Oryctolagus cuniculus: one gene and its partners. The protein of the gene in region 2 purifies or fractionates together with the protein of the main gene of each other region. This does not show direct contact. Links are inferred from orthologs where the notes say so. Each region holds a gene or a part of one and is shown on either strand. Other genes may lie near its edges. The genes, in order: DUSP16, MAPK9 and DUSP8.

Region 1 (10,169 bases), on a different chromosome or scaffold from region 2:
AAAGAGAGAGAGAGAGAGAAAGAAAGAGAGAGAGAAAGAGAAAGAGAAAGAGATCTCATCCACGAGTTCACTCCCCACACATCATGAGGCAAAAGCCAGGACTGAGCCAAGACACAGAAAATGAACCTACAACTCAATCAGGGTCTCCTTGTGGTTGGCAGGGATCCAAGTACGGAAGCCATCACCTGCTGCCTCCAAGCGTACATATCAGCAGAAAGCTGGAATCAGGAGCAGAGCTCGGATCCAGGCACTCCAACATGGGATGCAGGTGTCCCAAACTGTGTCTTAACTGGCCCGTAAGCCTGCCCCCCCCACACACACACACAAACTTTTCAACAACCTTTTTAATAAATACTGTTCATGATGGAATTGTAAGGAGTTCTCTATAGTTCCCTTGACTCTGACATTCAGATTTTTCAAGTATTGTTTACTTGTTACTGTCCTCCTGTCTTCTCCCACTAGATTATTAATGTCACACGGGCAAAAATCTTACCTCTATCTTATGTTCCACTGTGTGGCCAGTGTCTAGCACTTAGTACATGCCCAGCATAATCCATTCATGATTAAATGAATAGCTTCCTTCTTTGACCGCCTCCATTTCCCTGCTCCTCACACTCGTTAACTATCATTTAAGGCCAGGGTCAAATTCTACTATTTCCACAAAGATTACCTCCCTGCACCTTCCAATTTCTTTTTTCTTTATACTATCAATTTTGCACTTACCAGCTGTCTCGTAACTGTTCGTCTTGGCATATATATATACCTCTCTTAACATTCTTAACCTTGCTCATTAAGTACATGAAACTGTCCCCAACTCCTGGGATCCACCTCAGCACATGCAAATAGATTACCACTAAAAAACATTTTACTTAACTGCTTTATGTCTGCAGTTAATCCAGAAATTCATTTAATCAAGTTACTATTTTCAACTTTAAAACTGATTCCTCCCTTCCAAATAACTCAAAATAGGCAGTAAAATGGCAGTCTCCCTCTATTTTAAATTTATCTCTGACAATATCAAGTTTTATATTCTCACATAATTTATGCTCATAGTTTATTTTATCCCCCTTTGCCAAGATTAAATTTTTATATAATAAAACAATCTTATCATTTTTGGTGATACCTAATGAGGTTTCCAACTCCAAACAAAGGGTATTTTTCCATCTTTTTTTTTTTTTTGCCTTTCAAGTCAAAATGTATCCCATTTCCTTCTTCAATTATCATGCCTCTGGCAAGCTTTTATTTCTTTGTACCTGTCCTCAGTAATCTGTCTTCTATTCTTCTGAGGTACTGTGATTTCCCCATTTATTTGATTAAACTTAACATCCCTCCCCCAACCAGTCTGTAAAGCCTGAGCCTGTCTCTTTAAATTTGGCCAACCTTAGGAATCTCCCTTCACACAAGCCAATCTTTGGCTATCTGGGCTAATGAAATATATAAAAAGGTAACCCACAATACAAGAAAATCAGAAAAAGTTTGACATCTGGCTTTGGAATATATCATATGTAGCTTTGGGGAAAACTGTCTTCATTGTATTTTTTTTTTGCTTATGTCAACATTAGCAAGATGTTTTTTACAATGGCAGGTTATGTCCCTCAGTTTTAAAACCTGATGCAATTTAAAAAATAAGTATCAACTCTGCTTTTTAACTTGTTCCTTCAATCTGCTGAAAATCTGTTTTCTGTTTTCCCTGATTTATCCACTACTTTTCTTGACTTTCTGATCCAAATCAATTTATCCCATACAAACTTATTCTTGGATCAAAAGTAACTTTTGCTTTAGAATGCAAAGCATTTTAAAAACACTCAATGTCTACATAACACAATGTCTACATAACAAAATCATTTTTGTCAGATATTCCAAGAAACTTGGGGTTCTAGGATAAAGCACGGTGGTAATTCTAACAAATTACAGTTAAGATCTTATGATTAGTTGAAAATAGGAAAAACTTTAAACACAACTACGTAAGTGTGCATCAATAAATGAATCCCAAACACTAAAAATTCTATGGAATTTCCCAATATAAGCACTTAGAGAAAACAGCATCAAAACAAACTCACATCAGCCCTGTCATTTCTAATGATCCCAGCTTAAACTGCACTCTCCTCATACCTACTCTTGAATCCTGATCTCAGCCTCACTTCTATTCCTACCAAGCCACAAATAATTTTAGATGTTTAGGAAAAAGAACAAGAACTGAATTGACAGGCTCTCTTTTGCCCCTTTCTCAGTTATTACCATTAAGCTTTTGGACAAAGAGATCCCTAACTCCCAAAGTTCCATGATGATTTTTAATTTACAGGAATTCAAATGCATTCACCAAACTGAAGCAAAGAAAAAGGTCCTCTCAAACTGAAAAGAGAGCCAACAGGGTAACTCCTTGTCTGTTCCTTGCTTCCTCCATCATTACGCATAATCTCAAACACTTACATAAAAGTTAAGTACACTTTTAAGCCAGATCAGCTATTTTACTTGGAGGTTCTGACCTACCAGAGTTAAAACTAAAAATCTGTAAATATCAGTATCACACTTCACACATATCTTTTACATCTGAATGTAGATTTATAGTGTGCTTGAACCTACTGACCAGGGATCTTCAAAAAGTTCATGGAAAATGCTATTATGAAAAACAAGGTGTTTCAAAAAAAATTTGCACCAAAACACTTGTCATTTAATTCCTTTTTCCCCCACAAATGTGCTGAAGTACCCTTGTATTTCCATGTACTCACTAAGGATTGAACATACTCATTTCTAATTCTCTGTGGAACCTTGATAGGTATAAACATTTTACCTAAAAACCAACCCTTGGAAGTTGGTGTTATTTAACCCAGATTATTTACATAATATGCCAAATGTTAACAAAAAAATTTTTTTTAAATAGCAATCTTCCAGTCTTCATACTCAGCGAATCCCACAACTTTCTTTCAAAAAACAAAAACTGTCACAGTGCCTAGTCACATTTTGATCAGAACACCCACCCAAAGCTGATAAACTCTTAGTTTTTCAATTTACTTTACAAGCTGCTACCTTCACCAAACGCAGAACTCCATAAGCCTTAATTAATTACAGCTTCCCGAGCTGGGTCCACCCACCTATGCCATCCTCAAGGAAAAGTAAACAGTTTAAAAAATAGTTAATTTAATTGGTAAGAAGGCTTTTCTTCTCTTGAAAATTTCCCTTCACTGTGAAGCTCTCTTTTCTTGATGGAGTTGAAACAGTACAAATCCTTTAAGGAAACACTTGTCACCTACGTGTACCTTCAATCAGTGCCATACAGTGAATGGCAGAAAGCAGCATTTTTCTGACAGTCCCAGTTCCCCAAATAGTCACAAGGTCTTTCATGGATGGTAAATCAATCTCTCTCTCTCTCTCTCTCTCTCTCTCTCTCTCTCTCTCTCTCTCTCTCTCACACACACACACACACACACACACACGGAAGGCAAAGAAGACAGAAACATACCTGGTCATTCTCTGAACAGGTTGGATAGGTTCGGTACGAGCAGAGTATTTACCTATAATCTTTCAAAGCCAAGTGGCAGCCAGGCCCCTGGGTAACTAAGAACTTCACCGTGTTTTTAAAACCCCGCATCTTAACTCACTTCCCCTTAGTTCAAGGGGCCGGCACAGCAAACCTCACAGCAAACGAGGTTATGCAACAGGTTTTTCCTCTACCTGACTCCTCATGGGCTAATCAGGTGTGCTTTCTCCAAACAACCAGCGACACCGGGGACTTGAACCCGCCCAGGAGCCTCGCAGTGCACTGGAATAAGCCCCTTGAGGGGTTTTGCAGTGTCCATTCATTTTAAGATCGACTTGCAATCCGCCGCCCCCGGACCCCCAAGGCTCATTACCGCTTTTCTTGGGAAAATAAACCCAGCACCTGAAAACGTAGTTTTGCACATAGATTTTCCCCCACTGTACTGTTTTATTGCCTGGAACTACACTTGATACACGGATCCTCGGGGGCCTCCCTGGGCTATTTTAATTTCTCACGTTTTACAGCAGTGGTAAAGAAATCACCGGCACGCCGGGCCCCCTCAACACCACGACCCGAGCCCCAGGATGAAAACTGAGGTCTGGGGGTGGCGGGGAGGTGGGGGGGGGGTCGCTTGGCTTCATTTAAGAAAGCACGGTCACCACCCAGGTGGCCTCGCTGCCTGCACCACCAGCGCGTTTGGGATAATGGGAACAGTCAGGCCGGGGCCCCACTTGGCAGGCGTGTTGTTTAACAGTCGCGCCTGGAAGTGAGCAGCTTCGCCCGCGAAGGTGCCGCGAGTCCCGCCGCCGTCGCTGCTGCTCCGCGGGGTCGGCTCGAGCCGAGCCCGCCGCGCCGGGGACGCACGGAGCGCCCCCGCGCCTGCCCGCACGCCCCTCTTCCCGCTGGCGCTGGCCCCCCCCAGCAAGGCCTACACCCCCGCGTCAGACACTCGTGCGGCTCCGGGCCGCGGTCGCCCCCACCGGGACGCCCGGGCAGGCAGAGCCCGCGGCGCCCGGCACAGCGAGTCGGGGCGCGCCGCCGAGCGTCCATGCTGCCCTGCCGGCCGGTCCGAGCCCCGCACCCTCCCGTCCGCACGCCCCGCCGAGGCCACTTACTTCTGGGGCCGCCGGCCTCCCGACTCCCCTCTGAGAGAACCGAGCGTTGTCACCGCGTCTCCCCTCGGGCCCCCTCGCCTCCCGGGCTCGCGAGGCGCCGCCGCGGAGCGGGGAGGGCGGCTGCGGGGCCGCTCGCGACCCGTCCCGTCCGTCGCTCTGTCCGGCTCCTCGGCTCTCACCACAGAGGCTTCTCCTCCTCGGAGGGGCGGGTGGGGGCGGGAGACTCAGAAGCGAGGAGACGTTTGCAACTTTTCTTCACTCTTTCTCTTCCACCCCCCTCCCCAGTTAGCCTTCAGGAAAAAAAAAATGTCGAGAGGGGTGAAGAACTTGGGGAGGGAAAGCTGGGGGGTGGGGGGCCGCGCGGGGAGAACGGCGGGGGGAAGGGAAGGTGCTAATAATCCTTTAAAAATTGGCGAAAGCCCCCCAAACAGGGATACACAGAAAGAGGGGGAAAGGCGGGGGGGTGGGGTGGGGGGTTGGGGAAAGAGAAAGAGTCGCTGGTCAGGAAACTTCAAGCGCGGATGAGGTCATTGGTTTAAAAATAAAGAGATGGCGTCACTTGAAACCAATCCCAGTGAATGAACTCAGCGGAGCCCCGGGGAAAGGAGGAGACAGGCGAGGGCAGGGCGGTGGGCGCCGGGCGGGGCCGCGCGCTCGCCCGCCAGCCCATCCCGCGGCCGCCCGGGCCGGGAGCGCGGCTCCGCGCCTCGTTTCGGCAGCTCGGGGAGGGGTCGGGTCACGTTCCCGGCCAGACCTTGGGCCGCTCGGAGGCAGGTTCCGCGGGCGCTGCGGGGAGGAGCCGGCGCTGGCCGAGGAGGCGGCCCGCAGCCTCGTCCTCCTCCTCCGCCTCCCCCCGTCCCGCAGGCTCGCGGCCACCGACGTCCCGGCCGCGCGCGCCGCAGTCGGTATTTGAGGGTTCCCCTCACCCAGCCAGATTCAGCGCCTCTTGCTCCTCCTTGGGCTGCTTCCTGCTGCCCGGGCAATGTAAAGACACGCAAACAAGGACTGAAAGGAATTGCAATCTCTCTTTAAAAGCCTCCGGAATCCAAATGGCAGGAAAGAGAAATTGCAGGTACTTGAAGTAAAATCACTCAAGGGTTGTCAGGCATTCAGCTCGTCCTAGGCATACCGTCCACCCCCAACCCGCCTCCCCCCCCCCCACCGCGCCCCATGAATGTTCCTACGTTTATTTGGGTTGTATTTACTAATATAAGTACAAGCAGCCTAGCTGTCGCTTTCAACATTAGGCAAGGGCAGAATTAGCTTTAAATCACTGCCACTTGTGAGGTGCAAGACCCTCGGCGGTCGAACTCCACGCACCTGAAGCTTGTTAATGTTTTGTTTAAAGTCACTGAAATAGCTTTGTTGTGAGACTTTGCGCACTTCGGAAAGAGCCCTGAGATGGTGACAAAGTAGGACTAGGAGTCACTGAATAGGACAATCGGAGCTTTATTCCAGGGTTCTTTGAGCATCTGAGCGTGAAGCTGCCGCCACTGAGCAGTCCTCCCGTGGATATCACATAACAAAGATGTGATTAATGACGGAAAAGCACCGTGGGGGGGGGGGGGACAAGATCGATGGGTAGGAATCATCGCTCTTAAAGCATTGCATTGCCATGCAGCAGACCTGGGACGTTGGCCCTTAAAATCGCTGTTTGTGCTGGGTATTCCACGTGGACGCTGCCTCGGGGACGTTCTCATTAATCGGGGAAAGGACTAAGCAGGTTTTGGCGGGGGTTGGAAAGAAGCTACATCTCTGTTTACTACTTAAATTCCGCAACTGAAGTGCATTCCTTAGAATTGATCATGATATAAAGTTAGGGTCATGGAGTAAGCCTCTGGGATAATGAGGTAAGTCTGTCTTTTAGAGGGGGACAGTGGGTGGGGAGGGAGACAGCTTTTGGAGGTGGGAGAGAGCCCAGCCCTTCAGGCAATAGGCAAGGCCTGAAGGCCACAGAGGAAAACCAACCTCCAGCCTCTGACCCTTTGAAGACGCCTGTGGAGGGGAAGCGATCTCTCCGGCTGCTCCGGGTCCTCTGGTGGCCAGGAGGTGGTACTGCAGCATCTTTAGGGTTATCTGTACTCGGGACACAAACTAAAAACATAGGCCTATCGTTTTTAGAACTGTTTGGATGGAAAGGATCTACATCTCAAATCCACTTATTTGAAGATGTTGCATTTTTTCCCAATTTCTTTGAAAGAGAGAGAGATGTCCTATTCACTAGTTCACTCCTCAATTGCCCACAATAGCTGGGACTGGTTCAAGCCAAAACTGAGAACCTAGAACTCAAGCCAGGTCTCCCATATGGGTGGCAGGCACCCAACCACTTGAATCATTACTTGCTACCTCCCAGGGTGCATATTAGCAGGGAGCTGGAACTCAAACCTTGCACTCCAATATGGAACGTAGTGTCCCAGATAGCATTTAACCACTGTGCCAAACAACTGTTCCAAAATGTTGGGATTTTGAGAGACGTGGAAGGCATGGATCTTGCCTGAATGGAAGACTCAAATGAATCTATGGTAGAATATACCCTTTATGGGGCCAGCGCTGTGGCATAGCAGGTTAGGCCGTTGCCTACAATGCCAGCATTCCATATGGGCGCCAGTTCGAGCCCTGACTGGTCCACTTCTTATCCGGTTCCTGCAAGTGCAACTAGGAAAGCAGCAGAACCCTTTACAAACATTCCTTTAAGTGACAGTCTTCCTTCGCTGCCCCTTCTTCACAGATACAATTCAGCTGGAATGTTTTCCATGGGTGTGGTATTATGGAAGCCTCCCCTGTGTGTGTAGTCTAATTAGAGAAATGAGACATGGTTTAAAATTCATTAAAAGCCAACACTTCAGTGGCATACAATATGTGCTAAAAGAGTCACGAGGAACAATGTAGACTGGGACTATGAGGAAAGACATCTTACGAAGAGCTTGTAGTGCCCTCCTCATCCCCCCCACCTCCACCCCGCTTTGAAGGACAGTAAGATTTAGCTTGCGAGGCAAGCATCTGGCTCAGCGGTTGCGATGCCTCTTGGAACAACACATCCCATGATAGAGTGTCGGTTCTACACCCAGTTCCTTCATGCTAGTGCACATCCTGGGAGGCAGCAGGGGATGGCTCAAGCACTTGAGTCCCCGCCACCCATGTAGAAGACCTAGATTGTGTCCTGGGCTCCTTGCTTTGGCCCATCAGAGGGATGATCTTTGTCGCCTCTGTCTCTCTGCCTTTCAAATAAATAAAAATAGTTTAAAAATATTTAGTTTGTGGTGAAGGGGTCAGTGGATGGAACTATTCTCAAAGGGGAAAAGCATGAACAAAGACAGGATGAAAGAAACAAGGTGCGCTCAGGTGAGAGACAGGTAGACATCTGCAGTGGTAGTAGAGAGGAGGGCTTAGCGGTTAGAAGCAAAGTTAAATTTAAGACATTGAGAGACTCACTAGGAAGGTACTTGAATAAATAGCTTGTTACTAGTCAAGCTGGTTAAGGAGAAAACATTGAATGAGTTTACTGAAGAGTATATTTCTCCTTGTTCTACTTTTAAAAAAAAACCCTCTACACATGCTAACAACTGTGGAAACAGAAATTAAAATTCAATACCTGGGGGACATGTTTAACTTACCATTAAGATGTCCTGTTTGAAGGTCATAGTCGAGCTTAAACCAGCTTTCCACCACATTTAGAGTGATGACTGAGGGCTGGATTCCCCAAGGCAGGTGAACAGCTGATATACTTAGGGCACCAGCAAAGCAAAGGGTCCCAGACCTGAAAACAAGATAATCTAGAAACAAGTCACAAGGGGCTTCACAAAGTTTGAGAGGAAATAGAATGAAAAGATAATGAGAATTTTCCATAAACTTTTCAAATTACTCATTTGAGAGGCAGAGAGATACAGGTAGAGAAAACCATCAGCTGGTTCTCTCCTCCCAAATGCCCTCAACAGTCAGAGCTGGGCCTGGGGCCAAGCCAGGAGCCAACAAATCTGTTCCAGGTCTCCCATGTCAGTGGCAGGAACCCAATTACTTGAGCTATAACCACTGACTCCCAGGGTCTGTACTGGGGAGAAGTTAGAGTCAGGAGCCAGAATTGGGAATTGAATCCTGGCAGTCTGATATGAGATCCAGGCGCCCTAACAGCTAGGCTAAATGCCTTCTCCCCCATGAACTTTTCTTTTTTTTTTTTTTTTTTTTTTTTTTTTTTTTTTGACAGGCAGAGTGGACAGTGAGAGAGAGAGAGAGAGAAAGGTCTTCCTTTGCCGTTGGTTCACCCTCCAATGGCCGCCGCTGCAGCCGGCGCACCGCGCTGATCCTATGGCAGGAGCCAGGAGCCAGGTGCTTTTCCTGGTCTCCCATGGGGTGCAGGGCCCAAGCACCTGGGCCATCCTCCACTGCACTCCCTGGCCACAGCAGAGAGCTGGCCTGGAAGAGGGGCAACCGGGACAGAATCCGGTGCCCCAACCGGGACTAGAACCCGGTATGCCGGCGCCGCTAGGTGGAGGATTAGCCTAGTGAGCCACGGCGCCGGCCCTCCCCATGAACTTTTAAAAACTCTTTATTTGACAGGCAGAATTACAGAGAGAGAAGGTGAGACAGAGTGAGATCTTCCATCTGCATTCACTCTCCAAATGGCCGCAACAGCCAGGGCTGGGGCAGGCTGAAGCCTGGAGCCGGGAGCTTCTTCTAGTTCTCCCGTGTGGTTGGCAGGGGCCCAAGGACTTGGGCCATCTTCTGCTGCTTTCCAAAGCACATTACCAGGGAGCTGGATCAGAAGTGGGGCAGCTGGACTTGAACTGGCATCCAAGTGGGATGTCAACACTGTAAGCAGCGGCTTAACCCCCTACACCCAAGCACTGGCCCTCAAACTTTAATTTCTTTGTCTGAAAGAGAGAGAGAGAGAAATAAGGGGAGAAGGGAGGGGAGGGGAAGGGAGGGGGAGGGGGAGAGGGAGATCTTCTGCTGGTTCATTCCCGAAATGCCTGCAACAGCCAGGACTGGGCCAGGTCTCCTATGTGAGTGGGAGAGACCCAAGCATTTGAGTCATCGTCTGCTTCCTTCCAGGGTGCACATAAGCAGGAAGCTGAATCTGAACTACAGGAACTAAAACAAACTCAGCACTCCAATGTGGAATGGGAAAATCCTAAGAGGCATCCTAACCACTGCACCCAACTTCCACCCCTCCATGAGCTTTTTGAAGCCCTGTGTACACACGGAAGTGTATAGTTTAGTATTGTTTTTAGTTACACTTAAATATGGGGGAAGAACACCAAAATTTTCAGTTAGAATTAAATATGGGCGAGGAACACTCTACTATTTTAAAAATATTTTTATTATTATTTGAGAGGTAGAGTTATAGACAGTGAGAGGGAGAGACAGAGAAAAAGATCCTCCATCTGCCAGTTCACTCCCCAAATGGCCACAACGGTTGGAGCTGCGCCAATCCAAAGCCATTCTCCTCCAGGTCTCCCATGTGGACACAGGGGCCCAAGCACTTGGGCCATCTTCCACTGCTTCCCCAGGCCACAGCAGATAGCTGGATCAGAAGAGGAGCAACCGGGACTAGAACCGGCGCCCATATGGGATGCCGG
Region 2 (10,044 bases):
CACATCAATGCCAATGTACATAAGAACACCCCCACACACAAACCCACAGCCTATGCCAGGAAGCCCAGAGAAACAGCGGGAAATGAGAAACTTTCACTCTTCCCATGACAACTTTCTGTTCTGTTTTTTAAACCGTGCACACATTTCACATTTAAAAATGGACTGAAAAGTTTTTCATGAAAGCTACGGGATAGTGGTTCTGCAAGCTGTATGGTGGACAGGTCGGAGACAAGACCGGAAGCAGGAGAGTGGGCCAGGCTTTTATAAGTTACAAACAGCTTGTAAAGGGTTACTGTCCCCACTCTGCCAACAAGGAAACTGAGGCTTGGAGACAGTCCAGGAGTTGCCCAAACTCCCAGCACGACCCAGGTGTGAACTGAGGCGCGTGTGACCCACTCAGCGCTCTTCCATCTAACTGTGTTCAGGAGGTGAAGCTGTGTGTCCCAGAGCCGGAGAGGAGCAGGAGACACTCGGGCATTCCCATTTCACCCTGGTGGGTTCTCCCTGCCAAGATGACGCTCAGGTACACCTTCAGTCACAGCAGCCTCCCGAATACTCAGGACACACACTATTGAATTAACTGACGGCCAGTCACAGGGAAAAGCAGACTCTCACAATCCCTCTGCTTCAGCACCCGCTGCTCAATTTCTTAGTGGTTCCACTGCCCTATTTTAATTCTTATGAATAGCTTAACACAACAACTTAACAGTTCCTAGACAATCAAGACCTTCTAGCCTCTTGAACCATCAGTTCTTAAAGCTATATCATTTACTGCAAGACAGAAAATCAAGTAGCATTTGGTTTTCACTTCACCCATCATGGGCTCCAAGGAGCGAGTGTGATTCCCGGCCTCCTGTCCTGCTCAAAGGGACCTGGGCTTTCTTGTTATTCCTCTCTGGCCTTGCTCTCAGCACTCCACAGATGGGCAGCAGAACTGCTCTCTCAGAAGCAACTCCTGCTACTTCCAAACAGCCACAGCACGGCGTTCGAAATGGGAGGAATGGAGGGAGGCCTGTCCACACGCTAACCTGTACACGACTATCACAGCAGCTTTGTCTATACCAGGTCCTTCAATGGGTGAATGTACAGCCACATCATGGGATACTTCCCATCCTTAAGAAGACACACACTACACTAAGGGGGATCTCAAGGACATCCCACAGTCCTGAACCTATGGAGTCAATCAACAGCACATCAAAATGTCTTCAGAAACTGTACTGAACACGGACAGACTTTTCTCTCGTTGCCATTCTCTAAACAATACAGTACAACTATTTACATAACACATCGCACTGGGTATTCCACATCATCTGCAGATGACTTACACGGGATGATAGGTGCATGCTAGCAAATGCTATGTCATTTTCTATAAGGGACTTGAGCACCCATGGATTTTGGGTATCTGGGTGGCGGGAGTGGAGGGGTGTCTAGAACCTAGTCCCCTGAGGGTACTGAGGCACGGCAGTACTCAAGGGTAAGAAGGCAATCCCAAGTCATATATATATATATATATATATACACATATACTATATATATAGTTCCATGTATACCATATTCTTGAAATGACAAAATTACAGAGATACAGGAGAGATAAGGCGGTTGCTAGGAGTTGTGGATGGTGGGGGCCTAGGGACGGTGCGGCTATAAAGGGGTGGGGCAAAACAGTTCCATGTCTTGATTGTGGTGGTGGTGGCTGTCACATGAATAGCCGCATGTGATGGCAATAAGCTGTACACACGTTACACCAGAGCCAACTTCCTGCTGTTTGATATCTACTGAGCTAAGTAAATATGCAATCAGGGGGAAGACTGGGTGAGCGGCACCTGGGACCCCTCTGTATTGTCTCTGCAACTTCTCATGAATCTATACTTTTTGCAAGATAGAGAATTTTAAAGAGAGAGAGATTTGCTGAAAATATGCAGCAATCATACCATTCCCTGGATTCCTTCAGGAAGACTGGAATCCTGATCAGCACAGCACGGGAGACGGCAGGCCCTCTGATCTGCTCTTGGGCAATGTCAGCCACCTGGGGTCAGCAGCCCCGCCCAGCTACTGGACACCTTCAGGACTCTACCTCAGCTGCTCCATCTGCCTGAAATGACTCCCCTCCCCTCCCCTGCTCCTGGGTAACCTGCATTCTCTTTTGAGCACCTGCCGCTCTTGCGTTTCCCTCCACAGCCTTTCCCTTCACGGTATGCAGGATGTGCCCTCTTCCCTGCCTTGTCCTGAACTTGTTTTCTATTGTACCACCAGTGAAACTCTTGCTTCCATCCTGTGAGCTCCTTATGAGAGAAAATCGTCTGACCTATTTCTCAATATCCTGCTATTAAAGGGCATGCCCAGTAAATGTTTATTCAAAGATAAAACTATGTGGGGAAAAAAAAATGTATGGGGCAATGGTTAAAATCAGGATGCAAGAGTCAGATCCCCTGTGGGTCTGCTACTGATCTGAGTGAGCCAGAGCACATGCCTGCAGCCATTTGAGAAATGGGGATAGACACGATTCTTGCCACCTCCAGAGGGAAGAGCCCAGCTTATCTCAGGAGGCCAGGGCACAGGAGTGCACCCTGAGTCTGACTTGCTGGTTCATCCCCAAATAGCCACAACTGCCCAGGCTAGGCGAGGTGGAAGCCAGGAGTTTCATCCACATCTCCCACATGGGTGGCAGAGGCCCATGCACTTGGGCCATCTTCTGCTGCTTTTCCCAGACCATGAGCAGGGAGCTGGATCAGAAGTGGAGCAGCCAGGAACTCGAATCAGTGCCCATACGGGATGCCGGCGTCACAGGCAGCAGCTTTACCCTCCACACCAGCCTCGGGTCCCTACCTCTTAGTGATATACAAGTATATAATGAAAAACTCATGGGTGAAATAACACTTAGGATTTGTTTAAAAATACGGGAGGTAACTGTGTACAGATAAGAGGCTACCAATGAGGCAAAATCAGCCAGGGTTTCTAACTGTTGAAGCTGGATACCGTTCTTTTTGTGTCTTTTCAGAGTCACTATCATAAACAGTTAAAAGACTAATGCTGAAACCTTGTTCATACAATCAAGTACAAATGATTAAGAATTAATTATTAGGTGGGAGCCAGCGCTGTGGTGCAGCAGGTTAACACCCTGGCCTGCAGTGCCAGCATCCCATATGGGTGTCGGTTCGAGACCCGGCTGTTCCAATTCCCATCCAGCTCTCTGCTGTGGCCTGGGAAAGCAGTGGCAGATGGCCCAAGTCCTCTCTCTCTGTCTCTACCTCTCTCTGTAACTCTTTCAAATAAATAAAAATAAATCTTTAAAAAAAAGAATTAACGATAAAAATATAAAAATGGAAACTTTCTTGCCAAGTGTGAAGTCCAGGTACATATTTAGACCAAAAATAGTTGCCTTGCAGCCAAATCAGCACTTCTTAAGAAAAATCCCTGACTTCTAGGTTACCTGAGACATCAGGGAATAACTGGTTACTAACAATCACTTTGCCTGATATTTTAGCCAGAAACCTGATTTTATTTTAAATAGAAACATTCAATTCTACTCTTTAACACTTATTTCAAAGTTATGCCCTTTCACTAAATTATTTTAAAGTCCCAGGATCCTGAAAGTTAAATCCTCAGGCAAATGAAAGCTTTCCACAGAAGTCTATGCCAAAATAGGATTTTTTTTAACCCCACTGGTTACTTCTGAAGAGAATAAAAGGTTAAATGGAGGAAAGCATTACACAGATTGAGTGTTGTTGTTTCAGAACGAATTAGAAGCCAGAGGAGCACAGGCAGGGCTGGGGGCCCCAGGGAAGCATCGTCTTGTGAGGGATTGTGCTGCAGAGCAGGGACTCTGGGCTTTTCTTCCTCTGTGAAAACAGGTGTCTTCGCTGCTCCTTCCAGGGCCCCAGGGACAATTCAGTAAGCACCTGAGCAGGCCGGGCTCCCACCCACAGTCCGTCCTGGAGGACCACAATCCCGCAACCAGGCTGAATGAGGTCTGTATTTGGCTAGGCTCACAACAACAACAACAACAACAAACAGCTACTGCCAATATTGAGAAATCAGGAGAGTGCAGGTGCAACTGTGGATTGAAGCTTCTTTTAGAAAATTGCTGGGCGAGGGGCTCCTCCTCCAGGGTCCCCACCACTACACGCTCCCACACCTGGCCAACGCCACACAGCGTTAGGTTCCTTCCTTGGCCCTGCCCTTTCACACTCTTTGCACCTCTCCTGGCCTGGCAAGCGTGGAGGCCCACCAGCACCACCTGTTGCTCCACCCTTCCGCAGGCATCATCCACTGTCCTGGAACCAACCCTGTGCGTCATGCCTTTTCCACGGGGCTCCCAGGCTCTCTGGGGGAAGGGACCCTGTCGCTCTCTCCTTTGTGTCCCTAGGGCCCAGCAAAAAGCATGACCTAGATAATGGAGAATTCAGTGGCTGTCTCCTGGATTTACTAGGAGGTCGTTAGAGCTAAACCATTATAAAGATGTAACATTTTATATCATAGCTCGTTACCATAGTTACCAAATAAAGAGGTCAAGGACGTTAAGATGTTCTACAAAATGAGAACAAGCTTCCGAGTTTCACAAGTCACTCAGAAGTCACTAAATGAACAGGTAAAGCAGAGACAACAGGTAGGCACGCTCCTTACATCATTCATTCATTCGCTGAACTGAGACTATCAAATACTTACTGTATGCTTTCTATAAGTACCAGGAGAAAGCAGACAAATCAGACAACTACCTGTTTACAGAAAGCTACAGCCTAGTGGGGGAAGACAGAAAAGGAGAGGCAAATAAATAGAACAGTTTCAACTCAGAGTGCTAGGAAGAAAATGAAACAAAATAACAAGACAGAATGATCCCTTGCAGAGGGTAGCCGAGGAAGGCCTCGCTGAAAATGAGACATCTGGACAGAGCAAGGAACAAAAAGGTCCTGGACGCGACGTAAACAGGAGAGGCAGCAGGTGCAAAGTCCCGGGGACACGGAGGTTAGCAAGTTCCTGGCAGGTGGGAGGATTAGCGGGCCCAGGGAGCAGTGCTCTGGGGAAGAGCTGTGGTGGGCAGGGCCTGCTCCGCGTAGCTGAGCACTGGGCGCGCAATGACAAGGCACAGGATGGGTGGGGAGGGGGCCCCCACCACACTCACGCCAGCAAGGGGCAGTATCCGGCCCTATAGTCCACCAGTGTGCACAGACTTGCGTCCAGGTGCTCCCACAGACAGCCCAGTCTTGAAGATCAGACATGGCCCCACTTTCCCGAAGGGGCAGCCAGCGCCTAATCCAAGGTCGCGGGGACCACCGAGCATCCGGGGCGAGAGGGCAGCTGCGCGGCCCGCCTGGAGGAGGGGGCCACAGACCCCCGCGGGCAGGTCTGCGGGGCCAGGTTCCGCGGTCCTCGCCGCTGGCAGCGGGCGGGAGGGGGCGACTGCGGCACGGGCGGGCAGGGGCTGCGGCCCGCCAGCAACCCCGCGGCTCCCGCCAGCCCCGGAGGCCCGGCCCCAGAGGCCCCGCGCCCACCCCGCTCCCCGCCGCGCCCGACCCCAGCACCCACGCCGGGCCTAGCCAGCCCTTCGGGCTCACCTCGCCTCCCTGCAGCCGCGCCGGGGTAGAGGGCGGGCGGGCGCACTGGCGGCGCTGCGCGCTGGCCGCTCCCGGCTAGGCTGGCCGCCCCGCCCCGCCCCGCTCCGCCCCGCCGCCGCCGCCGCAGTGGGTGTGAGGGGCGCGGGGCGCTTCGACCCTTCCGGTCGGCTCCCTTCCCCTCAGCCGCCGCCGCCGCCGCCGCCGCGGCGCCCGGCCTGACCGATCCGTGACTCCACCAATCAGTGCGCGGAGAGCCCGGCGGGTGCGGCCAATCGCGCTAGGGGGCGGGCCGCTGTCGGGCGACTCGGGCGGGGCCAGGCCAGGCCGGGTCTGCGTCCGAGGTCTGGTGCAGGGTCCGGAGGCGGCGTGGGGCAGTGCCGGCGTGTAGCGGCGTGTAGTGGGCTGGAGAGACGGGCGTGGCTGAGGTCGCCCGATGACCCCTCTCTCCGGGCAAAGAGGGTCCGCAGAGCTGCGGCCGAACGCCGAGCCGGGAGGAGGCGAGAGAGGATGGGCCGCAGGCGAGGCGCGGCGCCTCAGGACCGGGGCTACTCGTGGGTCCGAGCCCCGGGGCTGCAGGTGCAGGCGCCCAGCAGCGAGGCGACCTGGAAGGAGACAGGAGGAGGGAGGCGCGGCGCCTGGGACTCAGCTCGCTGCGGACGTGCCGCACGCACGCCCCACTGGACGGGTTTAGGGGTGCGGCCAAAGGTCAGGGTTCAGGCGCAGGGTGCGAGGAGATGACCGTCGTGCACCAGTCTTCCCGGCCGACAGGAGCAGGAGGGAGTGTGCTGGCTGACAGGGCTCAGGGGGAGCAGAAGGGCCCCCTAGGGACCGGACAAGTACAGCTGGGATGAGGGGCGGAGGCGGGGCTCCCCGAGGGAAAAGCTCCGAGGCCAGTCGTGGGCTAGGGGCGTCGGATTTCGGGCACCGATAGAGTTGGGGACCGTGATTGATAAGTGGTGAGTAAGGAGCTGGGGCAGCAGTCCCGGGACGCCGAGGTCCACAGAGCAGGGGGAGTAGCAGGACCCTGCAGGTCTGGGGTGGAGTGTTGCAGAATCTGGGGAGAGAAGCGAGCCTGTGACCCAGGTTCTGAAGGGCCGGGCTCGTGCAGGCACCACGGCCTCAGAGGAGGGGTGGGGCAGAGAACGGGATCTAGCCGTGGTGTCCTCCCATGGCCGCCAGGGGGAGTTTTCTAAAATTGAGTATCACTAATCCCGGCTCCTGAACGTGGTCTGCATTGAAATGGACCCATCTGGTGGGCTCCTGCCACCTGCCTCAGCTAGCTGCTCAGGAGAAAACAGGGAACCTAAAATTGCCGTTACTGAAAAAGATGAGAAACTAGTAAAAGCCGGGCTATCAGAGATGAGGTCCCAACAAGGAGCAAATGTGCATAGACACATCCCCCCAGGCTGGGAAGAGACAGTGGATTTCCAGAGGCACTTGGGCCTGGTTTTTAGCAGTCACCCGGTGCACGGTAAGTAACCTAAGTTTGCTGTCTGTGCTTATGCAATTAGGCATATGTCACTGAGGTTTCTGTAAGAATTCTGGTTATTCCTGGTTTGTCCAACACAGTAGACATTTGTGGACACAGAGCTGGGGGGACGTGGGACAGGGCAGCTGGTCTGGCACAGAGAATCCTGATTGAGGCCTGCAAGCGTGATATGAGCCAGGCAGGACTCATGTGTGTGACTGACACCAGTCGTACCTGCCAGCCAGGGAGAAGCAGGGGCAGCAGCAGAACTTCCAGACAGGAGGAAGCCCCTGCAGAGGCTGGGCAGGCAGAGAGGGCACTTGGGCCCCGAGGCTGAGCAATGAGGAGCCATGTGCTATGTTCAGGAACCTGTCACCTGGTCTTGCTGGCGATGGGGCAAGCGGACTGGAGAGTTGTGGGCCTGAGGGTGAACTGGCACTGCTGATTTGTGGCACAAGGACTCAGCTCTCCGACAGCTCTGGTTTAACCCAGAGCACTTGTTGATGTATTTCATTTTTTAAAAAAGATTTATTTATTTGAAAGAATTACACAGAGAAGGAGAGGCAGAGAGAGAAGTCTTCCATCCACTGGTTCGCTTCTCAAATGGCTGCAGTGACCGGAGGGGAGCTGATCTGAAGCCAGGAGCCAGGAGCTTCCTCCAGGTCTCCCATGCGAGGCTCCTGGTTTCAGCCTAGCCCAGTCATGACCATTGTGGCCATTTGGGGAGTGAACCAGTGAATGGAAGGTCTCTTTCTCTCTCTGTCTCTGTAACTGGGACTTTCAAATAAAATAAATCTTTAAAAAATATTCTTTTTAATTCCAAAAATTACAAAAGGCAAAACTTGAATTTGCCAGACAAGGAGTACACCTGTGCTCAACCCACTCAAATATGTGATATGTACATGTTGCATTAGGTATTACAACAAATCTAGAAATGATTGAAAGTACACAGGAGGGTGTGCCTGGGTTCTCTGCAGATAGCATCCTGTTTTACAGAAGCGACTTGAGCATTTGTAGGTTTTGACATTTGCGGGCTCCTCTACCAAGGGACAATGGGATGGCCTAGTTCTGAAAACAGAGGACAAACACCCACCAGTGAGTCAGCAGAGGGCAGCACTGGGCTAGGCTGAAACCGGGAGCCTGGAGCTTCCTCCAGGTCTCCCACGTGGGTGCAGGGGCCCAAGGACTTGGGCCATCTTCTACTGCTTTCCCAGACACATCAGCAGGAAGCCAGATTGGAAGTGAAGCAGCAAGGACTTGAACAGGTGCCCACATGGGATGCTGGCAACACAGGTGGTGGCTTAGCCAGCTATGCCATAACACTGCCCCCCCTCCAATATTTTTGATCCGTGGTTGGTTGAATCGATGCCTGGGTGACAGAGGTGGAACACTGAGGAAAAGCAAGAGAACTATGAGCACAAAAGTCAGGATGGCCACTGCCTCCTGGACGTGAGGATGACACATTTTCTAGATCTCACCCAGATCAAACATCTCAGTCGTTGTATCAGCTGTGCTTTGCTTAGGAAGAGGGATTCTGGCAGGAGTCCCTCATTAATTTGTTAGGTGCGCTAAGGATGGAGGTCTGGGAGTGCTGCCGTGGCTTCCGGTTCCCACTGGTTCTCCTGAGCTGGATTTGGAGGAGCCACAGGAAATCTGTTCATCTCCATCCATTGCTGCTGGGAGTACCAAAGGGCCATAGTAGAACCTCCTGTCAGTTGGACCTACATTTGTTCTTTTGTTTTTAAGATTTTTTTATTTGAAAGGCAGAGGTACTGAGAGAGATGGAGAGCCAGAGATCCCTTCCATCCCCTGATTCCCGTGGTTCATTCCCCAAATGGCTGCAACAGCCAGGGCTGGGCCAGGTCAAAGCCAGGAGCCTGGAATTTCATCTAGGTCTCCCACATGGGTGGCAGGGATCCAAGGACATGGCCCACCTGCTTTCTCAGGTGCTTTGGCAGGGAGCTGGATAGTAAGTAGAGCAGCCAGGACTCAAACCAGTGCTCATATGGGATGCCGACATCATACGCAGTGGCTTAACCTGCTGTGCTGTAACACTGGCCCCTGAAGCAGCATTTCTATTTGCCTCTGTCAGAAGAGGAACAAATATACATGCTCCTCAGTTTGCAATGGGATAAGTCTGGGTAAATCCACCCTAAGTTGAAACTATCCTAAGTAGAAAGTGCATTTAGGGGTTGGTGCTGTGGTGTAGTGGATAAAGCTGCCGTCTACTGTGCTGGCATCCCATATGGGTGCCAGTTCTAGTCCTGGCCGTTCTACTTCAGTCGCACTCTCTGCTATGGCCTGGGAAAGCAGTAGAAGATGGCCCAAGTGCTTGGGCCCCTGCACCCATGTGGGAGACCCAGAAGAAGCTCCAGGTTCCTGCCTTCAGATCAGCCCAGCTCTGGCTGATGCAGCCATCTGGGGAGTGAACCAGTGGATGGAGGATCTCTCTCTCTCTCTTTCTCTCTCTCTCTCTCTCTCTCTGCCTCTCTGTAACTCTTAAATCTTTAAAAAACAAAAACAAAAAAAACCCTGCATTTAATCCAGGGGCAGGAGTTGTGGTGCAGTGGGTTAAACCACCACCACTTAGGACTCTTGCATCATCCCATATTAAAGTGCCTTGGATTTAGAGCTGCCTCTGCTGGTCCAGCTCTCTGCTAATGTGCCTGGGAGACATCAAATGATAGCTCAAGGACTTGTTCCTGCCTTCAGCCCTAGTCCAGCCTTGGCTTTTGAGGGCATTTGAGGAGTGAACCAGTGGATAGACTCTCGCTTCTTCTCTTTTTAATAAATAAATACTTTTTTAAAAAAGATTTATTTATTTGAAAGAGTTACACAGAGAGAAGGAGAGGCAGAGAGAGAGGTTGTCTATCCGATGGTTCACTCCCCAGTTGGCCACAACAGCTGGAGCTATGCCGATTTGAAGCCAGGAGCTTCTTCCAGGTCTCCCATGTGGGTGCAGGGGCCCAAGGACTTGGGCCATCTTCTACTGCTTTCCCAGGCCATAGCAGAGAGCTGGGTTGG
Region 3 (9,408 bases), on a different chromosome or scaffold from region 2:
AGCACGGCACGTGCTGGACCCGGAGGCCGTGGGGGTCTCGGGTGGGGGCGGGAGCCTCTCCGAGCTCTGGCACTCAGGCCTGTGGCCAGGCCGGGCCTACCCTGAGCTGATGCAATCCTTCCCTGCCTGCAGCTGGCCGACAGCCCCAGGCCCTGGCCTGGGTGCCAGGACTGCGAGGCAAGTGCTTGTGGGGGACCTCCTCCCCCTGGGGCATGACATCACCCCGTGGGATTGGCACAGCCGGCAGGGGCATTTGTGGTCAGGCCGCGGCTCTGCTCCAGCAGAAGACAGAGGCGCAGAGGCACCTGGGGCAGCAGGAGTGCCCAGGGCAGCAGTGGGCACCGGTTCTGCACACAGCTGGCACGCGCCCTGCCGCCGAGTCTTGGGCTACAGGCTGGTGGAGGGGCGCTTCGCAGCCCGTCCTGGTGCCTCCGACTCTGTGCCCACGAACAGCACGCCTCTGGCCTCGGCTTCCTTGTCCTGTATGAGTGGCCCTGGACACACCTGTCCTGGCTGGGGTGACCACTGACTCACACCAGAAACCAGGCAGTAGCCGTCAGCTCGTGACAGGGTGAGCCGAGACCTGCTTGGTGACTTCTGGGGCTGTTCACATTTTGGGGATACCAGCCCCACCCCTACCCCAGCAGGTGGGCTGCTGCTTCTAAGTTGAGGCATTCGCTACCCCTTGGGAAGAGGCAGGGTCCCAGGTCCCCCGGAGGAGGCTGTGCCGGGGACCTGGAGGTTTGCTGAGGCGCTTGGCCGTCATCCCTAGCCCAGCACTGCCGGAGAGCCCGTGTGCCGCAAAGGAAGGCGTGACTTTGGGGGACCCTGGAGATGGGGAGAAGCGGTCCCTTCCTCGGGAGGCTGCCGGGTGCACAGCGTGACTGTAGGCAGCAGGGCTGCCCCAGGTCCCCGGCCCCCAGACGCCGAGCAGGGTGCCGTGGGGCCCCGGACACTGCCACCCCCTCCTATGCCTGCCGGAGGTCAGCCCCCTGGAGGGACAGGGGCTGCGGACTGTCCTCCCCACCTGCCCTCCCCTCCCCCTCAAAGTGAGAGGCATGGGGAATCCCAGCGGAACCCCTGTCCCCCAGACCCAGGGAGCTCTGGGCGCCAGTCCTGGAGGGGCTGAGGTGACAAGGGAGGGGCATAGGCCAGAATGAGTGGCCGGTCCTAGGCCGTGGCCTTCCTTGGGGCCTGGGAAGGCGCTCCTGCCCCCAGGTACTCCAGGAGTTCATGCAAACCCCTGAGATGGGTGCAAGGTGCATACACCAGAGGTGGAATGCACGTGAGTGCACACAGACGCGGGTACACGCGTGCGGTGACGACCACCCTGCAGACACCCTGGCCTAGAGGGGTGAGGCCCTCGACTCACACTACAGTCACGGAGAAGGGGCAGCCTGTGTCACCCTACCCCTGCCCACCGCCCAAGGCTCCCAGATGATGCTCAGGCCCCTGGGCAGCCTCCCTCACAGGCAGGGTGGAAGGTCCCACTCCTGTTGGCCGCCGGAGGCAGAGGGCTGGCCCAGCTGTGCCTGCACCTGTCAGGAGCCCAGTGCCTCCATTGGTGTGTGTGTATGGGAGGTGGAGACACCGTGTGCAGCCTTCCACACGCCCCACTCCGCCTGCCACAGCCCTGTGGTTGGTACACAGAGGCCAGGGCATGAGCGTCAACAAAGACCCCAGACCCATGCGGGGGAGGAGGTGTGTCCCTGGGACCTGGGCCACCTCCAGGAGGGGATTCCATGGACGTGTGGGGGGGCTGGCTGGCCAGGCCATGTGTAGACCCTGGAGCCCTGTACTGGCCCCTGGGCAGCAGGGTGGGACCGGTCCCAGCTCACAGGGGGTTCCCAGAGAGGGTCTCTCCCGGTCGCTCGCCCCTGCACAAGCGAGTCATTCTCAGGGATCCCCCTGCTCTCCTGCCTGGGCCCCTACAGACGTGGCCTCCGCAGACGCCCTCGGGCCCTGCCACGCTGCAAGGGGGCTGCGGAGAGGGAGGCTCCCCGGAGCTCACCTGTGAGGATGGCCACGCTGTCAAAGCAGCCGTCCAGCTTGCTGAGCAGGATGGAGAGGAAGCTGTCGGCGGCCAGCACGCTGGCGTCCCGCGTGCTCTGGTCATAGACCACCACGTCCTGCGGCTCCGCGGCCTCTACCTGGGGGCCGTGAGGGCAGCGGTCAGGGCTGCCTGCACCTGTCTGACAGCCCAGCCCCCTGCTGCCACCCACCCACCCCTGCCCAAAGAAAGGGCTGCTGCCTGAGGGGATGGCAGGTGCCCTGCCCACGCCCACACACTCTCTGCCTGCTGGGGGCACAGGTGTGCTCACACCTGGATAGGTATAAATGTCCAGGCCCACACAGATAGCCACAGGGTCGGGGAGGCACAGAGAGGGCTCGTGCCCTCTCCAGCCACACAGGGGAGGGGGGACACGTGTGTCCCCTGTGGCCAGGCTGGCGTCAAGCAGATGCAGGTGATGGCTGGGGGGGGGTGCACCTGCTGGGCACCAAGAGTGACAGGGCACATGGCCGGGGCCTGGGCACAGGCAGAGGAGTTGGGCAAGTCTTTTGGGTGGGGGTCTCGCTGGAGCTGCTGGGCCTCTCCTTCCCTCCTCAGCCCCGTGGAGACCCTGAGGGCTGCAGCAGGAGTGTCTCCCACCCCCACTCCGGAGGCAGCAGCTGGAGGCTGGGGTTCCTCCTCCCCTCCCCCACTCTGAGGGAGGGGCCATGGGGCCAGATGTTAAGCGGCTTTTGCTCAGAGAGCAGCGGCCACCCCCCCTCCCCACCCCAGCACACTCAGCCCTTAAGCCAGCTGAGCCGCCAACCCGGGCTGGATGATGTCACCAGCAGCCAATAGGCTCACACTCCGGCCTGGAGTCCTCGCTGGGGGTGATTAATCACCAGATTCCCCCCACTGGAGCGGCAGGGAGCCTGCTGTGGCTTGGAGTGGGGGCACAGCCAAATGCACCGTCCCACCTGGGACCAGGTCCCGGGCTGCCACATGTGCCCCGTGCCCCGCCGGAGGCCTGGGGGGGGGCACCTGCACGGGTCCCCGGCCCCGGCCTCCTGGCCCCCTTAGCTGGGCGGTCCTGGGGAGGAACGAGCTGGGACAATGTTCCCTAAAGACTGCAGTCCCCTTGCCAGCCCCCCACCCTGTCCTCACAGGTCAGAGCAGCTGCGTCCAGCTGTACCCCTGCGTGGTCCCACCTCCCTCTACTCAGCAGGCTCCTTTCTGAGCCCTGTTTGGGCCTTGGGGGCACCGACCTGCCTTGGGTGTTTGGAGGCAAACTCGGGGAGCCCGGGACCCCCAGGTGGGGTCAGCAGGCTCAGGAAAGAGGGGGCTGGGGAGATGCGGCAGGAGGGCCTCCCTGGAGGAGACACCTTGCAGTGCTGAGGAGCACGTGGGGAGTGGGGGCAAGGTTCCCCAGTGACATCCTGGAGCCCGGCTTCGCTGCCTGGTCCCAGGCCCCCGTTCAGCTGTGGACTCCGGTGCGGCCACGGCCGGGTACCTGGCTGCGCACGGCCGGCTGGATGAGCTCGGCGATCGTCACCTTGCCCTGCTGCAGCCGCCGCTTCACCAGCTTGGAGCAGCAGATGTTCACGGAGCTGAGCACGTGGCAACTGTTGTATTCCACGAAGGAGCGGCTGTCGATGACCAGGGGCCCCCCGGGCCCGCCCCGCAGCAGGCTGGCCAGCTTCCTGGCGTCCATCACCTTCCTCGGGAGCCGGTCCCCGGCCATGGTGGGGCAGTGGGCAGGCTGACCCCCGGAGTGAGGAGGGTGTGGCCTCGCGTCCCGAGTGCCCTAGCGCATGGCAGCAGACCTGAGGGGAGAAGAGGGCGGTCAGAGCTCCCGGGGCTCCAGGGATGCACCAGTGTCAGGGGCCCCCCTCCCCGAGTGTGACCTGAGGCCTCATCGCATTGGGAGGGTCCGTGGGAGCCCTGCCCAGCTATCCTGCAGGCCTCTCAGCAGGACACGGCGGGGCCAGGTGGGTGGTCTCAGGCCGGGTCGGGCCAGGGGGAGCTTCCACGGGGCCCTGGGGCTCACTGACTGACAGTTCCAGGACGGCTCATCCACACCTGGATGCAGCCCTCTCCCTTCTCTGGTTCCGAGGCTTCCCAGGGCCCCTGGCAAAGCAGAGAACTTGCCTGTCGCACTCCAACCTGCCTCTCCCCGCCTCGGCATCTCCCCTGCTCCCCACCACCAGCCTAGTGTGCACAGCGGCTGACCTAAGCCGATAATCCTGGTCACAGTGGGGACTGGACTGACGGGCTCCTGGAGGAGGGTGGGAGGGCTGGGCACTGTGATGGGGGCCACTCCTGCCTCACAGAGTGAGGGCAGCCTTAGGACCAAGGTCAGTGTACCTGGGATGCTTGGGGTGCCGGGGCTTTCAGATGGCTTCAGACACCCTCAGGCTAAGGGGTGCATGGAGGAAGTAGGAGGAAGCTTGGTATCTGGGGCCCCTGGCAGCCCCTGCGCCCCCGCCCCTGCAGGGCCCAAGCTCCCCACCACTTGCCAGGACTGGCCTTGCTCTAGGCCCACCCGAGCCTCACAGCCCCCAAGGAGACACAGTTTGAATTAACTACGGGAAACTGAGGCTCAAGGCAGCAGTAGGAGAAACACAATGTCCACATGTCACCCATAGCAGCCATGATGCAGCTGACCCCAGGTCGGCATGCCCTGCCCACTGCTGGGGCAGCTCCCAGCCCCTCCGCGCGGTGAGCCCCGGCCCCTCTGCTCGCCTGCTGGGGTCTCTGTGTCCAGTCCCCGCCACCTCCCCTGTAGCCTGGGGTGCCTCCTGCTGCCCCGTGGGCCAGTGAGACAGGGTAAATCTACTGAGGAACGTGGCACTTCTGAGCGGTGGGCAAGGATTAGGGGTCGGTTCCCAGACACTTGCCCTCCAGGCTGCACCTACAAGGGGCTCCCGGTCCACTGAGGGGTCCCTGCCTGCCCTGGGCATCTCTGCCCTGAGGGGGTCCCTGCCCAGTGAGGTGACTCCTGGAAGTGGTGACAGGCCACAGCCACTTGCCCTCCACACCCCCACCCCTGCCCAGCACCTGAGAGAGCCATAGTGGGGAGGGGACACCAGGGAGCCAAAGCCTCAATGTGCTCATCTGCTAAGTGGGTAGGTTGTCCCTCAGCTCAAACAGAAGCCAGCAGGACCCCCAGCACAGGGCCTGGCATCCACACTGCCCGACGTGGGTGCAGATCTACCGATGGGCATCGAGGCCAGCGGAGGGGGGCACCTGAGCCCTAGCGACAAGGCAGGCTGGGGGCAGGGGCTGCAGGGGGGCGGGAGGACTGGCTCTGGGGCCTCGTACCTGGCTGGCCCTGCCTCCCCAGGAACACTCGCGCTGGAACGTGGCCCTATTAACCACCCTAGTATTGTTATTTGCAGCCGAGGGGACTCATTAGCAAGTTAGCACCTCCGTTGTCGCCATGGCAACAGCAGAGGCACCAGGCAACGGCTGCTCCTGCGGCTGCAGCCGCCAGCAGGATCCTCTGCAGTGGGCAGGTCATCCTCCTCCGTCCTCACCCGCTGCCTCTGCCGGCAGGCCGGGGACCCCGTGGTGACCCCCAGCCCTACCCTACCCGGTGCTTCCCAGCCCACTTGCATCTACCCCCTCAGAAGCCTTCTCTCTGCATGGAGGGGCTGGGCTGAGGCTCCTCCTGCAGGGCCTGGGAGGGCAGACCCTTCACCCCTGGCCTCCCACGGATGCTACAGATGAGGGCCCCAGCAGGTGGGGGTGGGGGAGCGGAGACCCTCGGCACAGCCCGGGCAGGTCAGCCGGTGCAGAACAGGTCAGATGGGCTTCCGTTCGGCCCGGGTCTCCACTTTCAAGGACAGGAGTCCAGCTCTGGCGCAAGCTCTGTTGGGCCTCATTCCTGGGAACCCAGGCCCGACCTGAGACCCTCACCAAAGCGGCTCCCAAGTCCAAAGTCAGCAGGAGGCCTTCCCGGCCCCTCTCCCAGAGGCCAGGGACACAGCACGGAGGCTCCAGTGCAGAACACACCCCTTTGTGCACTGACTCTGCACGCGGGGCTGGTGCTCACTTCTTGCCCACAGCCCACGGGGTCTCCCGTGCAATTAGACACGCGTGTGGGGAATCCAGGCACACACGTGCTGCTGCACACACGTCCTCAGAACCTTCTGAGAACCCGGGGACATCTATGCTGGGGGGGGAGCTCCAGGGCAGCCCACACACCCCGTTCCCACACGCAAGGCCTCCCTCCATGGGCGACACTCACGTCCCTGGGCAGTGAGTGGCCAGCAACGATCTGAGTGCCGGGGCCATCCCCAGCTCCCCGCTGCTCAGCCTAGTGACAGGGAGCTCACTACCCTCACACGGCCACTGCCAGGACGGCAGGCCCACGGGGAGACAGGGCTGGGTCTGGCAGGCTCAGCGGGTCACCAGCTGTGGCTCGTACCTAGGCAGAGCCTCGGAAGGCAGCCAGCAGTGGAGGGACCTGGATGCCGAAGTGTCTGCCGACGCTGTCACTCAGGGATGCCACCGGCTCCGCCCCATCCCCTCTCTCCAGACTGCCCCAGTGCACCTGCCCCTGCGGTTCCCAGGGGTGAGCATGCCCCCCACCCCGGTCTCTCTAAACCTTGACTGGGCCAGTGGCAATGCCCACCAGTGCCAGCCTGGGCTTGGGGAGGCCATGGATTTGGGAGATGGCCGTGGGGGGGAGTGGCACGGAAAGTCCCTGGGAGCCCTGGAGCGGGGCACAGGCCGGGCCTGGGGTGGGAGGGCTCCGCACAGGGCCGGTGGAAGCGGAAGCTGGGAACTTGACCATACCTGTTTGCTCCCCTCCTACCTGGCCCGTTCCAGTCCCACAGAGCTGAGGGTTTCTGCTGACCACAGCTCCCCCAGCAGGAGCTGACGGCTCCCAGAGGCACCTGCACCGCCGAGCCGCAGCCTGGGCGGAGGATGGGGCTGCGAGAGACCCTGGGCCACAGACTGAGGGCAAGCACCTTGGGGCATCTCTGTTTGGGGAGCCCTGGTCCCAGAGTGCTCCCTGGGGACGAGGGAGCAAGCAGCAGGAGGGAGGTGCTCCAGCCAGACTTCAGAAAGAACGCCTAGCCCTGATCACATGATCGGGCCCGGGTGTGTGTGTGTGTGTGTGTGTGTACTGTTATCAGCTGGGGAGAGTGCCTAGGACTCTGTCCTCCCTGTGCAAGGCCTGGCGTCGTCATACCCGGCTGCCCTGGAGCCAGCTCTGAGGGTGCTCTGGGTCCCCACCGAGGCCAGAGACGGGGCTCCCTCTCGGACCCTGCGGCACCCCACCCCCACCCAAGCCGCCCCTCCTCCACCCCCACAGGGCTCGCAGCCCCGCCACTGCGGCACCACGGCCCCCAACGCCCCCAGCCGCAGCCGCGACACCATTGCAGCAGTCAGTGGGAAGGTGGGGGTGCGTGCGGGGCCTGCTGTTGCCCCCACCCCCGCACGCCAGACTTTGGGGTACCCTACCTGGGCTGCGCCCTCCCCTCCCTAGGCAGGAGATGGCCCGGGAGGCGGCCGTGGGCAGCCTGGACGTGCCAGCCCCTCCCCCAGTACCGCGCAGACGCGGGTCTTTTATTCCGCAGAGGCCAGTAGAGCGCGCGCCGGGGTGCGGGCGGCCCGGCCCGAGGGAGACGGGATCTGCAGCCCTGTGGACGTGGAAGGAGCCCTCTTCTGGGTCCTCCCCAGCCCAAGGCCAGGACCCCGCATTCCCCCGGCCCGCTCAGGATCCGGGCGACTGTCTCCAATTCCGGCCCCCAACGAGGGTGCCCTGGTGCGCGCGACAGGTCCACCCTGGACCTCCAGTGGCCCTCTGGGTCTCCGTTGTATTCACCCTCCTCCCCCACCACACACACACACCGTCTGGAGGAGTCGCCGGCAGCAGGCGACAAGCGACCACCGGGTCGGGGTCCGCGGCGCGCTGCGGTCGGCGGGGGCAGGGCTTCCAGGTCCGCGGCAGCCTCGCGATCCGGGCCGGGTAGGGCTGTGCGCTGTGGCCCGAGCCGCTCTGCGCCCGCCGCCCGCTCCCCGGCGCCCTCCAGGCGCGGGGTCCCCGGGCTCTCCCGCCCCGCGTCGATCGGCCCCGCCCGGACGCCGCCTCTCGCACCCTCAGCCGTCCCCCCCCGCCCCCCGCCTTCGTCCTGGCCGGCGCCCCGCTCACCTCGCTCCCGCCCTCCTCGGGGCGCACCGGGGACCCGTGCCGCGTTCAGGGCGCCCGCTCGGCCGCGCCGCCCATGGGCCCGGCGGGGGCCCGCGCAGCCGGGGCAGGGGCCAGGGGAGCGCGCGGGCCGCGTCGCCGTCGCCGTCGCCGCCGCCGCGGGGAGCGCTCGCTCGAACCGGGGCGCGCGCACTGCGGGCGGGCACGCGCGCTCGCGGCGCGCATCCCAGCCCCGCGCTCCGCGGGCGCGGCCGGGCTGCTCCGGCTCGGCTCGGCTCGGCCCGGCGTCCAGCGTCCGGCGTCCGGCGTCCGGCGTCCGGCGGGGCGGGGGCCGCGGAGCCGGCGCGGCCGCGAGTGACAGGCCCGGGGCGGAGGGCGGGGCAGCCGGCGGGGATGAGGTCATGCCGAGCGAAAAAAGCCCCTGACGTCACCTGTAGCCAATCAGCGCGCGCGGCTCGGGGGCAGGTGACGTCAACCGGAGCCCGGCTTTGGGGAAGATTAGAGGCGCGGCCGGGGGGCGGGTGCCGGGGCTGCCCTGCGCCCTGCGCCCTGCGCCCTGCGCCCTGCCCGGCACGGGCTCTTAAAGGGGCCACGCGGCTCCCAGATCGAGCGCCAGGACCCCTCCTCCAGGAAGCCTTCCCAGCCCCAGGGCCCTGCGGCAGCCGAGGGGCCGCCTGCCCGCCCCGCCGCGCTCCTGCCGACCGTGTCCGCGCGAGGGTCCTCTCCAAGCCCGTCCGGAGCGGCGCCGGCGCCGGCCTCGCTCCCGCGACCTCGCCTTTGTTCGGGAGCGCCTTCCCGCGCCGGGCGAAGCGTTTCCCCGCTCTCCCCACAACCCCCCAGACCTCCGCTTACTCGGCTCACGCATTGTGAGCGCTGCGCGCGCGCGGGGGGGAGTCCCCCAGTGCCGCGCTGCGCCCCCACCCCCAGCTGTTAACAATCCCAGGGCAAAGCCGCCCCAAACAGCCCCCGCGCGCCCACCCTGACATGCACCGGCGTGGGGACGCCCCGGCGCGGCGGGAACAGAACGCGGCTGATTACACGACGCCTGGGCTTGCAGCGAACGCACCAGAGCCAGACGCAGGCGACGGGGACGCTGGCCGTGCCTGCGCGGGTGGAGAGGCCGGCGGAGTGAGGCCGAGGGCAGCGGGCGGCCGCTCGCTCACCTGCTATTCCTTAGATACTTGCCGGGGGCCCTCTCTGGGCCAGACCCTGCGCTGGGCACGCAGAGGGTGCAGGGACCCCCGGCCCAGGCTGGGGT

Evidence for each region.
Region 1: the proteins of MAPK9 (region 2) and DUSP16 purify together in Homo sapiens (affinity purification with mass spectrometry; 6 studies listed by BioGRID and IntAct, with this or other methods). This does not show direct contact. The link is inferred for Oryctolagus cuniculus from reciprocal best matches to the Homo sapiens genes MAPK9 and DUSP16.
Region 3: the proteins of MAPK9 (region 2) and DUSP8 purify together in Homo sapiens (affinity purification with mass spectrometry; 4 studies listed by BioGRID and IntAct, with this or other methods). This does not show direct contact. The link is inferred for Oryctolagus cuniculus from reciprocal best matches to the Homo sapiens genes MAPK9 and DUSP8.

The regions. Positions count from the first base shown.
Region 1 is NC_091440.1:110,208,433-110,218,601, forward strand, and holds the start of DUSP16 (dual specificity protein phosphatase 16), read right to left. Parts: upstream 4,733-10,169; 5' UTR 4,594-4,732; intron 4,399-4,593; exon of another isoform or gene 3,461-4,398; intron 1-3,460. UniProt on the Homo sapiens protein: Dual specificity protein phosphatase involved in the inactivation of MAP kinases. Dephosphorylates MAPK10 bound to ARRB2.
Region 2 is NC_091437.1:67,210,570-67,220,613, reverse strand, and holds the start of MAPK9 (mitogen-activated protein kinase 9), read right to left. Parts: upstream 5,747-10,044; 5' UTR 5,553-5,746; intron 1-5,552. UniProt on the Homo sapiens protein: Serine/threonine-protein kinase involved in various processes such as cell proliferation, differentiation, migration, transformation and programmed cell death.
Region 3 is NC_091432.1:1,912,448-1,921,855, reverse strand, and holds the start of DUSP8 (dual specificity protein phosphatase 8), read right to left. Parts: upstream 8,487-9,408; 5' UTR 8,154-8,486; intron 8,089-8,153; exon of another isoform or gene 7,853-8,088; intron 7,267-7,852; exon of another isoform or gene 4,139-7,266; intron 3,814-4,138; 5' UTR 3,732-3,813; coding exon 3,501-3,731; intron 2,151-3,500; coding exon 2,012-2,150; intron 972-2,011; exon of another isoform or gene 1-971. UniProt on the Homo sapiens protein: Has phosphatase activity with synthetic phosphatase substrates and negatively regulates mitogen-activated protein kinase activity, presumably by catalysing their dephosphorylation.